2 linked regions of the Saccharomyces cerevisiae S288C genome follow. Changing the gene in region 1 together with any one later gene gives a genetic interaction. Each region holds a gene or a part of one and is shown in the gene's direction. Other genes may lie near its edges.

What was found.
Region 2: mutations in ASP3-2 (region 1) and SER3 together harm fitness more than expected from each alone (negative genetic interaction), as found in Saccharomyces cerevisiae (one large-scale study listed by BioGRID).

The regions. Positions count from the first base shown.
Region 1 is NC_001144.5:470,743-478,890, reverse strand, and holds ASP3-2 (asparaginase ASP3-2), read left to right. Parts: upstream 1-4,833; coding exon 4,834-5,922; downstream 5,923-8,148. Other genes in the region: YLR157W-D (uncharacterized protein), read right to left, coding at 2,915-3,127; YLR156C-A (uncharacterized protein), read left to right, coding at 6,281-6,412; YLR156W (uncharacterized protein), read right to left, coding at 6,434-6,778.
Region 2 is NC_001137.3:316,801-325,374, forward strand, and holds SER3 (phosphoglycerate dehydrogenase SER3), read left to right. Parts: upstream 1-5,885; coding exon 5,886-7,295; downstream 7,296-8,574. Other genes in the region: ICP55 (aminopeptidase), read right to left, coding at 7-1,542; YER078W-A (uncharacterized protein), read left to right, coding at 1,846-2,010; YER079W (uncharacterized protein), read left to right, coding at 2,120-2,752; AIM9 (Aim9p), read left to right, coding at 3,163-5,046; UTP7 (Utp7p), read right to left, coding at 7,472-8,574. UniProt on the Saccharomyces cerevisiae protein: Catalyzes the reversible oxidation of 3-phospho-D-glycerate to 3-phosphonooxypyruvate, the first step of the phosphorylated L-serine biosynthesis pathway. Also catalyzes the reversible oxidation of 2-hydroxyglutarate to 2-oxoglutarate.

The DNA.
Region 1 (8,148 bases):
TCACTTTCGATGAAGACTTAAACCGTTTAACTGCTTCATATCATTCGTTCATTGCGTCAAATGAGATCCAAGAATCCAATGATCTTAACATAGAATCTGACCATGACTTCCAATCCGACATTGAACTACATCCTGAGCAACCGAGAAATGTCCTTTCAAAAGCTGTGAGTCCAACCGATTCCACACCTCCGTCAACTCATACTGAAGATTCGAAACGTGTTTCTAAAACCAATATTCGCGCACCCAGAGAAGTTGACCCCAACATATCTGAATCTAATATTCTTCCATCAAAGAAGAGATCTAGCACCCCCCAAATTTCCAATATCGAGAGTACCGGTTCGGGTGGTATGCATAAATTAAATGTTCCTTTACTTGCTCCCATGTCCCAATCTAACACACATGAGTCGTCGCACGCCAGTAAATCTAAAGATTTCAGACACTCAGACTCGTACAGTGAAAATGAGACTAATCATACAAACGTACCAATATCCAGTACGGGTGGTACCAACAACAAAACTGTTCCGCAGATAAGTGACCAAGAGACTGAGAAAAGGATTATACACCGTTCACCTTCAATCGATGCTTCTCCACCGGAAAATAATTCATCGCACAATATTGTTCCTATCAAAACGCCAACTACTGTTTCTGAACAGAATACCGAGGAATCTATCATCGCTGATCTCCCACTCCCTGATCTACCTCCAGAATCTCCTACCGAATTCCCTGACCCATTTAAAGAACTCCCACCGATAAATTCTCGTCAAACTAATTCCAGTTTGGGTGGTATTGGTGACTCTAATGCCTATACTACTATCAACAGTAAGAAAAGATCATTAGAAGATAATGAAACTGAAATTAAGGTATCACGAGACACATGGAATACTAAGAATATGCGTAGTTTAGAACCTCCGAGATCGAAGAAACGAATTCACCTGATTGCAGCTGTAAAAGCAGTAAAATCAATCAAACCAATACGGACAACCTTACGATACGATGAGGCAATCACCTATAATAAAGATATTAAAGAAAAAGAAAAATATATCGAGGCATACCACAAAGAAGTCAATCAACTGTTGAAGATGAAAACTTGGGACACTGACGAATATTATGACAGAAAAGAAATAGACCCTAAAAGAGTAATAAACTCAATGTTTATCTTCAACAAGAAACGTGACGGTACTCATAAAGCTAGATTTGTTGCAAGAGGTGATATTCAGCATCCTGACACTTACGACTCAGGCATGCAATCCAATACCGTACATCACTATGCATTAATGACATCCCTGTCACTTGCATTAGACAATAACTACTATATTACACAATTAGACATATCTTCGGCATATTTGTATGCAGACATCAAAGAAGAATTATACATAAGACCTCCACCACATTTAGGAATGAATGATAAGTTGATACGTTTGAAGAAATCACTTTATGGATTGAAACAAAGTGGAGCGAACTGGTACGAAACTATCAAATCATACCTGATAAAACAGTGTGGTATGGAAGAAGTTCGTGGATGGTCATGCGTATTTAAGAATAGTCAAGTAACAATATGTTTATTTGTTGACGACATGATTTTATTCAGCAAAGACTTAAATGCAAATAAGAAAATCATAACAACACTCAAGAAACAATACGATACAAAGATAATAAATCTGGGTGAAAGTGATAACGAAATTCAGTACGACATACTTGGCTTAGAAATCAAATATCAAAGAGGTAAATACATGAAATTAGGTATGGAAAACTCATTAACTGAGAAAATACCCAAATTAAACGTACCTTTGAATCCAAAAGGAAGAAAACTTAGCGCTCCAGGTCAACCAGGTCTTTATATAGACCAGGATGAACTAGAAATAGATGAAGATGAATACAAAGAGAAGGTACATGAAATGCAAAAGTTGATTGGTCTAGCTTCATATGTTGGATATAAATTTAGATTTGACTTACTATACTACATCAACACACTTGCTCAACATATACTATTCCCCTCTAGGCAAGTTTTAGACATGACATATGAGTTGATACAATTCATGTGGGACACTAGAGATAAACAACTGATATGGCACAAAAACAAACCTACCGAGCCAGATAATAAACTAGTCGCAATAAGTGATGCTTCGTATGGCAACCAACCGTATTATAAATCACAAATTGGCAACATATATTTACTTAATGGAAAGGTAATTGGAGGAAAGTCCACCAAGGCTTCATTAACATGTACTTCAACTACGGAAGCAGAAATACACGCGATAAGTGAATCTGTCCCATTATTAAATAATCTAAGTTACCTGATACAAGAACTTAACAAGAAACCAATTATTAAAGGCTTACTTACTGATAGTAGATCAACGATCAGTATAATTAAGTCTACAAATGAAGAGAAATTTAGAAACAGATTTTTTGGCACAAAGGCAATGAGACTTAGAGATGAAGTATCAGGTAATAATTTATACGTATACTACATCGAGACCAAGAAGAACATTGCTGATGTGATGACAAAACCTCTTCCGATAAAAACATTTAAACTATTAACTAACAAATGGATTCATTAGATCTATTACATTATGGGTGGTATGTTGGAATAGAAATCAACTATCATCTACTAACTAGTATTTACATTACTAGTATATTATCATATACGGTGTTAGAAGATGACGCAAATGATGAGAAATAGTCATCTAAATTAGTGGAAGCTGAAACGCAAGGATTGATAATGTAATAGGATCAATGAATATAAACATATAAAACGGAATGAGGAATAATCGTAATATTAGTATGTAGAAATATAGATTCCATTTTGAGGATTCCTATATCCTCGAGGAGAACTTCTAGTATATTCTGTATACCTAATATTATAGCCTTTATCAACAATGGAATCCCAACAATTATCTCAACATTCACCCATTTCTCACAAAGGATAAATCTCTTGGTTTGCGGGCCGCATACAAGATATGATTGTAGTTTTTTCAATGGCTCTACTGTCCCACTGCTGTACAACAGAAAATGAGAGATCAGAGAAATAGTATTCCGGAAGCCAGTGGTGTTTACTTATTAGTTTTTTGACGCCACTGCGCGAGTTGCTGCCTAGCTGTTCCTTGGCCAACGCATATTGGAACTTCATTCGACTGATATGCTTACTCAGAGGTCCATTACTTCAAGAATTGTCTCACCTATCGGGCTTGGCGTTTGTACAAGAAGAAACTTTCATCACCTTTGTTTCGCCACCAAATGAAAAAAAAAACTTGCATGGCTTAGGTGGTTCTTTGTCAGAAATATCTTCTAAGGATCAAGAGTCTTACGTGATTCTAATCCCTTGGCAAGTCAGATCTCAAATATGCTCACTCGCAGATGAGTAGCAATGAATGCGACCAAGTGACTAGTGACTGGTGACGACATGAGCCAAGCTGGAACCAGCAGCTTTCACGTCGGCTTATAGCTCTCTATGGGGCAATCAACCACTCATAGTGACTGAAGATCTTTTTAATATAATTACATTGCTAAAAACGTCATACCGCCTTGTGAGCACGATAAACAGCATATGCATTGAGCCTTGTTATTCTTCGGAACTGGGGATAGTAAAATGCGACCCGCTTAGGATGATCAAGCTATCTTTGGGACGGAGTTTTGTCATGGGAGTGGTCATCCTACTGGTGATGCTTCAACATTTGATTTACTAAATTTTGAAATCGGCCGCAGAATAAAACTATTATGTCCAAACAATTGATGGTCGAACCAACGTTAAGGGTTTCAAGTATTGAATTGAACTTTTATGAGTTCTATAATTTCGTTGCGCAAATTCAACTAAACCACCAATATCCCCCCTACAACGCTACACTTTATACCGATAGAGGAATAACGCATAGAGCCTTCGTAGAATTCTTCAACTCGTACGTGATGGGGATTCTAAACCTATCGTCATGTCGCTGTACAAGGCTGCTGCCTGCTTTCAAATTCCCAATTTTACCATGTCCGTTTCGCTGAGCCGAATCGTCACACAAGGTAATTAGTTCTGGGTATCGCTTCAGTATAGCACTGGTTTTTTCCTTGTAAAACCACAGTCTAACAATTAAATGAAGCTTTTCGAAGAAATTAGACCATGTTAGACTGAAAGCAAAGACTCCGGCCCGTTCTGAGGTAAGTTCAATGAAATTGGACAGTTTCTTTTCAAGGTTAGGTTTTGTGTTCGAAAAAAATAGATTACCGCACCTCCTTTCCAAACCCCATGAGTTTCCATTAAGGAAGAGCAACGTCAATAATACCACCTTTTGCAGATGTGATTCAACTCAAGATGCTGTAATCTTTCCCTTCTGACCCTAGATCACCTCATGATATCCTTTTGAGGCAATTAAAGCTGCAGTGTAAACTGTTGAATATCTTTTTGAAACCAAAAAAAAGGACGTTCCACACTTGGCTGCTTTCTTGATAAGCGAGATCTTTACTTGGAGATCTCGCTTAGTCCTCCGAAGGTAAACCCCGTCTCTTATCTTTAAAAAAATGTATCAGACCCTTCAGCACGTGACAGACAGCAAACTACCAGTCGACGAGGATGCTTTTCCGAAAGTCATGACACAAGGGAAGGACTGTAAGATCGATATCGGCGCAGTCTTATCGGATGTTCCAAGTCCTTGTCTCTTTCATTATCTGCTTGCTATCGCAAAAAAAAAAAAATCAATTTGTTTAATATCAACACATAATGTACAAGAACAAATCATGACATACAAAAGCCATATAAGATGAGTCTTCAAGCAGCACCAAGAGGCCTGAGGCAGAGCAAATGTTGGCTCGCTATTCTTTTGTAAGCAATCTGGTACTCACCAACCTCCAACTATGAGATCTTTAAATACCCTTTTACTTTCTCTCTTTGTCGCAATGTCCAGTGGTGCTCCACTACTAAAAATTCGTGAAGAGAAGAATTCTTCTTTGCCATCAATCAAAATTTTTGGTACCGGCGGTACTATCGCTTCCAAGGGTTCGACAAGTGCAACAACGGCGGGTTATAGCGTGGGATTAACCGTAAATGATTTAATAGAAGCCGTCCCATCTTTAGCTGAGAAGGCAAATCTGGACTATCTTCAAGTGTCTAACGTTGGTTCAAATTCTTTAAACTATACGCATCTGATCCCATTGTATCACGGTATCTCCGAGGCACTAGCCTCTGATGACTACGCTGGTGCGGTTGTCACTCATGGGACCGACACTATGGAGGAGACAGCTTTCTTCTTAGATTTGACCATAAATTCAGAGAAGCCAGTATGTATCGCAGGCGCTATGCGTCCAGCCACTGCCACGTCTGCTGATGGCCCAATGAATTTATATCAAGCAGTGTCTATTGCTGCTTCTGAGAAATCACTGGGTCGTGGCACGATGATCACTCTAAACGATCGTATTGCCTCTGGGTTTTGGACAACGAAAATGAATGCCAACTCTTTAGATACATTCAGAGCGGATGAACAGGGATATTTAGGTTACTTTTCAAATGATGACGTGGAGTTTTACTACCCACCAGTCAAGCCAAATGGATGGCAATTTTTTGACATTTCCAACCTCACAGACCCTTCGGAAATTCCAGAAGTCATTATTCTGTACTCCTATCAAGGCTTGAATCCTGAGCTAATAGTAAAGGCCGTCAAGGACCTGGGCGCAAAAGGTATCGTGTTGGCGGGTTCTGGAGCTGGTTCCTGGACTGCTACGGGTAGTATTGTAAACGAACAACTTTATGAAGAGTATGGTATACCAATTGTTCACAGCAGAAGAACAGCAGATGGTACAGTTCCTCCAGATGATGCCCCAGAGTACGCCATTGGATCTGGCTACCTAAACCCTCAAAAATCGCGTATTTTGCTACAATTATGTTTGTACTCCGGCTACGGCATGGATCAGATTAGGTCTGTTTTTTCTGGCGTCTACGGTGGTTAAAGCCTGATCAGTGACTTTTCATCACACTGTGTTTTTATATAGTTCTTAGTAGTAAATATACTCTATAATTTCTACATCCTTTTCATGATGTGCCAGTTAAGCTATTTTTAGCAAACAAAAAGATGAATTTGAGTATTGAGCACATCATTCACTGTTCAGCTGATACAAAACATATGATTTCTAATATTCACATAGGAAAAATCGCTCCAAACATCGAAGTATCATCGCTACTTTGGTCTTTTATCTGCTTCTCTTCTCTTCGCTCTTTTCACTGCTCGTGCCGCTGCAACGCTCCAACTCAGTTCTATCTCAGCTCCTTCCCCTTATCCCTTGAGCAGTGTCAAGGCGAGGCTGCGTGATGTATTCGTGCGCGAAAAAAAAAACAACTGCAGCACCTGAGTTTCGCGTATGGTCACCCACTACACTACTCGGTCAGGCTCTTACCAGCTTAACTACAGTTGATCGGACGGGAAACGGTGCTTTCTGGTAGATATGGCCGCAACCGAAATAGTTAGGTGTGGCAGCCGTACATATGGAAGCCGGGCGATGGCTCCGCCACGTGCAAAGTGCAGGAGCTTTGGAAAGAGCGTGCATATAGTGATGAAAACAGAGAGCACGGTTGCGAACGGAGGGTCTCACAATGTCTCAAAGGATAAATCTCTTGGTTTGCGGGCCGCATACAAGATATGATTGTAGTTTTTTCAATGGCTCTACTGTCCCACTGCTGTACAACAGAAAATGAGAGATCAGAGAAATAGTATTCCGGAAGCCAGTGGTGTTTACTTATTAGTTTTTTGACGCCACTGCGCGAGTTGCTGCCTAGCTGTTCCTTGGCCAACGCATATTGGAACTTCATTCGACTGATATGCTTACTCAGAGGTCCATTACTTCAAGAATTGTCTCACCTATCGGGATTGGCGTTTGTACAAGAAGAAACTTTCATCACCTTTGTTTCGCCACCAAATGAAAAAAAAAACTTGCATGGCTTAGGTGGTTCTTTGTCAGAAATATCTTCTAAGGATCAAGAGTCTTACGTGATTCTAATCCCTTGGCAAGTCAGATCTCAAATATGCTCACTCGCAGATGAGTAGCAATGAATGCGACCAAGTGACTAGTGACTGGTGACGACATGAGCCAAGCTGGAACCAGCAGCTTTCACGTCGGCTTATAGCTCTCTATGGGGCAATCAACCACTCATAGTGACTGAAGATCTTTTTAATATAATTACATTGCTAAAAACGTCATACCGCCTTGTGAGCACGATAAACAGCATATGCATTGAGCCTTGTTATTCTTCGGAACTGGGGATAGTAAAATGCGACCCGCTTAGGATGATCAAGCTATCTTTGGGACGGAGTTTTGTCATGGGAGTGGTCATCCTACTGGTGATGCTTCAACATTTGATTTACTAAATTTTGAAATCGGCCGCAGAATAAAACTATTATGTCCAAACAATTGATGGTCGAACCAACGTTAAGGGTTTCAAGTATTGAATTGAACTTTTATGAGTTCTATAATTTCGTTGCGCAAATTCAACTAAACCACCAATATCCCCCCTACAACGCTACACTTTATACCGATAGAGGAATAACGCATAGAGCCTTCGTAGAATTCTTCAACTCGTACGTGATGGGGATTCTAAACCTATCGTCATGTCGCTGTACAAGGCTGCTGCCTGCTTTCAAATTCCCAATTTTACCATGTCCGTTTCGCTGAGCCGAATCGTCACACAAGGTAATTAGTTCTGGGTATCGCTTCAGTATAGCACTGGTTTTTTCCTTGTAAAACCACAGTCTAACAATTAAATGAAGCTTTTCGAAGAAATTAGACCATGTTAGACTGAAAGCAAAGACTCCGGCCCGTTCTGAGGTAAGTTCAATGAAATTGGACAGTTTCTTTTCAAGGTTAGGTTTTGTGTTCGAAAAAAATAGATTACCGCACCTCCTTTCCAAACCCCATGAGTTTCCATTAAGGAAGAGCAACGTCAATAATACCACCTTTTGCAGATGTGATTCAACTCAAGATGCTGTAATCTTTCCCTTCTGACCCTAGATCACCTCATGATATCCTTTTGAGGCAATTAAAGCTGCAGTGTAAACTGTTGAATATCTTTTTGAAACCAAAAAAAAGGACGTTCCACACTTGGCTGCTTTCTTGATAAGCGAGATCTTTACTTGGAGATCTCGCTTAGTCCTCCGAAGGGTAAACCCCGTCTCTTATCTTTAA
Region 2 (8,574 bases), on another chromosome or scaffold:
ATAACATTACAGTGGTGCCACTTGGTCCTCCTCGAATTTTGTAGATAAGCCATTTTGCATGACATTTTCTAAATCGTCAATTTCTTTCACTGCTTCAACAGTTAAATTAGTGTAAGTATCTTCACCAATGGCTATGTCATCTTCAATTCTTATTCCGACGTTTCTAAAGTAAGATGGAAATGATTCCTCGTTAGGAATATATAAACCCGGTTCAATAGTAATAACTTGTCCAACCTTTAATGGTTCGTACCTGGAAACTTTAGGCACATCGTGAACATCTAGACCTAAATTGTGTCCAATATAGTGCGGATACAATTTTTCAACATTCCAACCGGAGACTTTATCTATGCCCAAGTTTTTCAATTCCTGTTTCATGAGTGTGATACTCTTTTCATGGATGTCGTGGAGGGAATAGTTATTGCTAGCTTTACATAACTTAATGCAATCACGCTGAACATTTAATACAGCTTCGTAGAGATCTCTTTGTGCATCAGTGAATTTCCCACTATTGGGCCACGTTCTCGAAATATCAGCACAATAACCACCCAAGGAGCCAGCAGCGTCTACAAGAACCATTTCGTCGTCAAACATCACATCATCGTTTCTTGTGTAATGGATACACAAAGAATTCGAACCAGTAGCGACCACGGGGATATATGCGTCCTTATCGCAACCACCGGATATAAACTTGTAATGAAGAAAGGAATCTAAAGTTCTCTCATTCCTAAATCTTTTAGCAAAGGCTTGATTGAACGATCTTCCTGATATTTGGCCAGCTCTCCTCATAATTCTCAACTCTTGAGGGGACTTGATCTTACGGAACTCTGCAATTCTTTTACTGATGGGTTTGATGGTCTTATTCGCAATGGAATTCAATGATCGATTGCTATTCCCACTGCCATCTAACAGGCTCTTGATGTGTTTAAAATTGGACGAACTGGGATTAGAAGTTGATAGCATATCAAAATAGATGAAATCATTCCTGTTAATTATTTTGGGCAAATATTTAGACAAATCGTTAATGGAAGCAGATTCATCGGCATTGAAAATTTCTTGAACACCATAAACCCCAGACCTAAATCCTTCCCACTTTTCAGCAAACGCATCCTTTGGCGGAACCAGCATGTGGAAAATTGTATCACTTAAACTATCCGTTGGCTTTTCTAAAATCATGACCGAATTAGGTTCATTCCAACCACTAAGATAAAACAGGTCATTTTCCTGTTGGAACGGATAAAATACTGCTCCAGATGCAAATTGGATATCGTTACCAGCTAAAATCACACAACTTTTGGGAGGCAATGTTTCCGCCAACCTAATTCTTCTTTCATAGTATTCCAAGGCTGAAATGCCTGGTGTCAACTCGCCCGACTTTATAAGGAACGGCCTTGTCTCATGCAGTGGTTGGCCTGCCTCAATGGGGATTCTGACTCTATTAGTAAAAGTATTACTTTTATGCTGTTCCAATGGCGATACCAACTTCGAGAAGTATCTTTGGCAAGATTGCATAGAAAACCGTACTGGGTTTATCCTATGTAACATATCAACAGAAAATGACCACTTTTCCTATTAGCTTTTTCTATTATATTCTTTAGAATTGGTGGAGTTTCTTGCGCAAACGATCCACTTTTGCAGTGCAGTAAGTGATCCCTATACCAGGTGAGTTGATATATATTTACTGTATCTTGTACTATTTTATGAACAAGAAAGGCTATTACTCACAACAGTTTTGGTTTCAGTCAAAGTTTATGTGTGAGTGTGAGTGTGAATGTGTGCGTGTTGCATAATTGCATTTGGCCTTTCCGAGAAATAAGTCATTCTTTATTTTTCTCTCTTTACGGTTTAATGGTGCGGCTTTCGTATCTGCGTCTCATCCTTCCCCCTTGCCGCTTGTCAGAACTCTCTAGCTTGGCGATTCTCTATCAACCTGTTATTCCAATTCTTATATCTACCATTACCTTCCAGCATTTTTTCAAATGTGTTCACACGCCCTGTAACGTTTATATATAAATATTTTAATATTTAACTTAGCTTATGCATATATAGTTAAAAGGGATAATAACAATAAGAATAAAAAACACAAACTGCTGAGATAAGAAAAGGAAGCGAATAGTTAATAATGCCTGATTCATCACATTCAATAAGCTCAAAAGATGTTGCATCTGCCATCTCTCTCTATGATCAGTCCATTTACACTAATAACAGGTCTACTAACCTGGACTTAGATCAGAGATCAATGAGCCCTTCCAATATTGCCTCTGGTGAAGATAGGATAACGAGAACGAACTCAGGTTGCTCCATCACATCAGGTGCCTCCATGATTGCCACGAAGGATGGTATTCAGGGGATTAATGTCAAAAGAGATGGGATTCCGAAATATTCACTTAATTTATTGAATTCCATGGTTCGAAAACAATATGATCACAATAATGGAACAAAGTCTCCTACCCCGAAGACTAGCAATATGGTAGACCCTAAGAACAAAAAGAAGAACAAAAAAAAGAAGAATGACAAGGATGACAAATACAAGGTATCGCATGATCAAACCGAAAAGTTTTACAAACTCAACACCACTTCCAACTCCAATCTCACCTCTGATTCTACTACTTCGTTATCGGACCAGTTTTATTTCCAGAAAAGTAACGCTGATTCTGCTCCATTAGACAATGCAAATTACCCACTCTCCGACCATTCCCCCTCCCTAAACTCTATGGATAATACTACAAAGCATAGCAGCAATGTGCACACTTGAATCACGTGAACCACAGTAACCTAATTGCTCAAATTTTGAGAGTTAAAGGAAAGAATAAAATATATAAATGATACGTTTATACCCGCTAAAAAAAAAAAATATAAAACAAAAAAAGGATCTCATAAGACGATTTGTTGGGATATGTCCACATCTTTCGGCTATATACTACATTTAGCTGTTTCCCGTTTCTTTGTATTATTCCCTTCTTATGTATAACTTTTACTAGTAATAATTATAATAAATATTCGTTTTGAAACATGGTAATTTCAAATGTTCAATGTATTTTCGGGCCGATTGCTGACCAGCGACACTTTAAGCCGAACTGTATTTAGTAGACTCCCTTTTCTCATCAGCGAAGAAGAAGTAGCAAAAGCTGTTTAGCAAGCAAGACAGCAATACGAAGACCAAGCATGATTAGGTACACTGTTGCTGGCCATTCCAGAAGGTGTGTAGTAGGAGCTTCGAAAAGAGTGGGTGCAATTAAATGTATCACCGTCGCCGCCACCAAGAGATTTATCTCCAATAAGCCAAACGAAGTTTTTACCAAGCTAACGAATGACAATGATCCAAAGAGAGATGCCTTTTTCAAATATACGTGGGGCTCATGGCTTAAAAATGATAAGCAAGAAAAGGAAAAAAGATTCACGAAGTTTTCGATTGAAGGTTTAAATCGCATTCTCAATGACATCTACATTCAATCTAATGAAATGGCTAAGGCCCCCGACGGTAAGATCTTACCACCAGTGTTTAACAAGAACTTGACCGTTTCATTGGTCAATAACGTTGTACCAAAGAATATAGGTAAAATCAACCCAAATGAAAAAGTTCAAGTAACCACATTATCTAGTATTCACGAAGGTAAACATCACAGAATATACAAGGTCGACACGAATTTGAACAAGGCATTTATCTTGAGGATTCCTTATCCGCTGGAAAATGAAAACACTCTATCCTACAGAATAAGAAGTGAAGTAGCAACCATGGATTTTGCTGACTTGAAGTTGGGCATCAAAGTTCCCAAGATTTTTTGTTATGGTGTCAATTCTTTGAACCCTGTAAGGCAGCCTTTTGTCTTACAAGAATTTATCGAAGGAGAACTCTTGATGAAAGATTGGGATCCATTGATTGAAGACGGTTCCTCCAATCAAAAAAAATATGACAATGTTATTAAACAAGTTTCTGATTTTCAGTCGAAGTTAGTGTCATTGAAATTAAATGCATTTGGATCCATATATTTTAACAATGACTTAAAAGACGGAAATGAGAAGGAGTTTGTTAAGGAAGACATATACGATGGGGAAACTAATCCGGATCTACAAAACAGATGGAAAATTGGGCCATCCGTGGAAAGATGTCTCTGGAGACATAAATCTCACTTGGATTTTCATAAACAAATGAAACCTTTTTTGGGACCATGGCCAAAGAAGTCTCCAATGGATATAATTAAAAATACTGGCCTATTGGAAGCTGAAAATGCTAAAACTAGAATAGCCATGAAAGAGGCAGGAAGTTCAGCTGAATTGATGTATCCTCGAACTTTGAAGGAGCAAATAACTACCTATGAAAATTTAGCTAAGATTGCCCCGGATTTATTCAACGTCAAAACAAAGGCCATTCCAAATATGCAGGAACTATTGTCACCACGTTTGTTTCATCCTGATCTAGACCCCATGAATATTATTGTTAACAAAGAAGCACAAGAAGCCTATCTATTAGATTTTGAAGGAGCATGCACAAAACCTTTCATTTTACAGAATTCGCCACAATTCATCGCCTATGATGGGCCCAAGATTTATGACTTAAAGGAGGACATAACCGATTTTGACAAATTATCTGAGGCGGAAAAGGTGCAATATCAGTTCATGTACAAGCGCACCCGTAATCAACATCAATGGGAGAAAAAATTAAATGACAATAATCCTAAATTAATTACTGCAGTTGCCCCACCTGTTAAGCTACTGAGAAGCCCATATATTGCAGCTGTCGAAAGAAAAACGGAAGAAGAGTATTTACTTATTGATGAATCACTATTGCAATTGAAGGAAGTTTGGGACATCTTTGCCCAGAATGAGTTAGTGAATCAGAAAAAGTTTCCTCTAAACTATAGTAAAGAAGATATTGAAAGACATGTTGAGGATTTGCAAAAATTACACGAAAAGCTAATCTCTACACCATTTGCTGCCACTCAAGGGTGGATTCCTCAAGATATGTTTGATCAACTATTAAATTCCGGCAGTATTGTTAAGCAAGAGAACGGAGACTACACCGTGAAGCAACCTGAAGCTACCAAATAATCTATACTAAAAATGAAATATTTTTTTGTTTTCTTTACCTCATTCAACTGTATAGAACGTTATAACAAAATAATCAAGTTAAAACCCTTTTTTGTACACAATGGAATCTCTTCCATTTACTAATCAACTTAACAATGCTGGATTGGATATATTGATAACGTTTTAAAAAGCGTTGCGTGATGTTTGGGTGCAATTGGCGGAAAAGCGGAACTTTCAAATTTACGATAGGTGGAGATACATCTCCACCTTTCTCCCCATTATCTTTGAATTTTCCTCAAATATATAAAGAGAACAACAAATCCATAGAAATGCCATTGTTTAATCCTGATTATCTACATTGTTTTAGTTTTTTACTCACAATCGAGTAATGCCTTTGTTTGGCCAAGCTATGTGCAAATATCACAAATTAAAAATTTGGTTAAGCAGTTAGGCTGGACCTAATATTTTAGAAAAACCTAATTTTTTTTGTGGACCCATTTTCGATATTTACTCACAAATGGAATTCAAGGGGAACAACTTCGGTCTCAGCACTTTAATTATTCTTCTCGTTCCCACCTAATTTCGCAATTTATTGTCCTTGACTTCTACCACGAGAAAAAAATTAAGAAAATGCAACGCTGCCCGTGCAGGGTTTTCTGAGCGGGATGAAAAAATCAGACAAATATCCAAGTTATGAGTAATTACTTTGTTGGAAGGAGGGAGCAGAGGATAAGGAAATTCTTAAAACTGTTATGTATATAAAGGAAGAACCATTTCTAGTTATTTCACTTTTTGATACTTGTCAACTATCTTAGTAAAAATACAGAACTCTATAAAGAACCACAGAAAAATCGACAGCAATGACAAGCATTGACATTAACAACTTACAAAATACCTTTCAACAAGCTATGAATATGAGCGGCTCCCCAGGCGCTGTTTGTACTTCACCTACGCAATCTTTCATGAATACCGTTCCACAGCGCTTGAATGCTGTAAAGCACCCAAAAATTTTGAAGCCTTTCTCAACGGGTGATATGAAGATTTTACTATTAGAAAACGTTAATCAAACTGCTATTACAATCTTCGAAGAGCAAGGTTACCAAGTCGAATTCTATAAATCTTCATTGCCCGAGGAAGAGTTGATCGAAAAGATCAAGGACGTTCATGCTATTGGTATCAGATCAAAGACTAGATTAACTTCAAATGTCTTACAACATGCGAAGAATCTGGTTTGTATTGGTTGTTTCTGTATCGGTACCAACCAAGTTGACTTAGACTACGCTACCAGCAGAGGTATTGCTGTTTTCAACTCGCCTTTCTCCAACTCAAGATCAGTAGCAGAATTGGTCATCGCTGAAATCATTAGTTTAGCAAGACAACTAGGTGATAGATCTATCGAATTACATACCGGTACATGGAATAAGGTTGCTGCTAGATGTTGGGAGGTAAGAGGAAAAACTCTTGGTATTATTGGGTACGGTCACATTGGTTCCCAATTATCAGTTCTTGCAGAAGCTATGGGTTTGCATGTGTTGTACTACGATATTGTAACTATCATGGCCTTGGGTACTGCCAGACAAGTTTCTACATTAGATGAATTGTTGAATAAATCTGATTTTGTGACACTACATGTACCAGCTACTCCTGAAACTGAAAAAATGTTATCTGCCCCACAATTTGCTGCTATGAAGGATGGCGCTTATGTTATTAATGCTTCAAGAGGTACTGTCGTGGACATTCCATCTTTGATCCAAGCCGTGAAAGCCAACAAAATTGCAGGTGCTGCTTTGGATGTTTATCCACATGAACCAGCTAAGAACGGTGAAGGTTCATTTAACGATGAGCTAAATAGCTGGACTTCTGAATTAGTTTCATTACCAAATATCATCTTGACACCACACATTGGTGGCTCTACCGAAGAAGCCCAAAGCTCAATCGGTATTGAAGTGGCTACCGCATTGTCCAAATACATCAATGAAGGTAACTCTGTCGGTTCAGTCAACTTCCCAGAAGTGGCATTGAAATCATTGTCTTACGACCAAGAGAACACTGTGCGTGTGTTATACATTCACCAAAATGTACCAGGTGTTTTGAAGACCGTCAATGATATTTTATCGAACCATAACATCGAAAAGCAATTTTCCGATTCAAATGGTGAAATTGCTTATTTAATGGCTGATATCTCTTCTGTTGACCAAAGCGATATTAAAGATATTTATGAACAACTAAATCAAACCTCTGCTAAGATCTCAATTAGATTGCTATATTAATATGCAATCGATTCTCATACTGTCAACTTTTTGAACATGATTAAAAGTTTCCTATAAAATATTAAAAAGAACCAAAAAAAAAATGGATAGAAGAATGCTTGAGGCAATAATAATGATTATCTATTTTATATATACATACATAATCATTTAAGTTTTTTTTTTAAAGATATTTCGATTTAGCCGAATCTGCTCAATGCCTCTTCGATGACATCCTTGTGGTCTTCTGAAATTAGGCCTTGTTTGATTTGGTGGTTTCTTTTACGAATATTTTTCTCCTTATCCAGTTGTTTCTGTACTCTTAATTTTCTTTCATCAATAACGTTTTGAGTCTTTTTACGCAAAAAGGAACGCAAACCCGAATTCTTACCTTTCACATCAGGTTTTACATCTGGAATGTCGCTGTTGGTTTTGGCTTTATTATTAGCATCCATTGTAGTTTGCGCCAAATCCTTAGCGTTTAACCTTATGGTAGAAGACCTTTTATCCACTGAACCGATGGAATTCGGATCTAAAGTAATTGTATCTGCTGGCAGTTTGTTCAATAGGGTTCTGACTTCCTGTTCCTGTCTTTGTTTTTTGGTTTCGAATGGGTTTAATTCTAAGGCATCGTAATTGGCTTCACCTGCACCAGGTACAATCAAATTCGTAATACCCGTTTGATGGCCTACACCTAGTAAATCTTCAAATGGTACGAATCCCAAATTTTCTACTTTGTTTCCGGCAAACAAATGTGACATGTAAGGGGTGTTTCTATGTGGGTTCCCTCCCATGGACCCGAAGCACGGTTTACTGTCTCCACTTAATTTTAAAGCGTCCTTCCACAACGTAACGTGAGGGCCCCTAGATAATGCCAATAGACCAGTATCTGAAATGGAAACGTTTGTTCCTGGCGTCGGTAAGCTTTCCACAGAATGTAGTTGCTTGAAGTTTCTGATATCCCAAATTTTCATCGACCTATCAGCCCCTGTGGTTGCCATGTAATACCCGCTTCTATCGATAGCAATGCTGTTCACTGGTCCTCTGGCAGAAAGTAATTTTACTAATGGTTCAGGCATGGATGGTGACCAGAGGGATACTGTACCGTTTGAATGACCTAGATGCATCACAGCATTCCATGGGTTTTGTGCCATTGCCATAGTTGGCCCAGCTTTGGTCCTCAATTCCGAGACCAACTGGCCAGTGGAAACATCGTGGTACTTCAACCAACCTGTCTCACCGGCAGTTACGAGCAGGTAATGATATGGTAGAAAATCTAAATGTCTTGCCTCAATATGTTGTT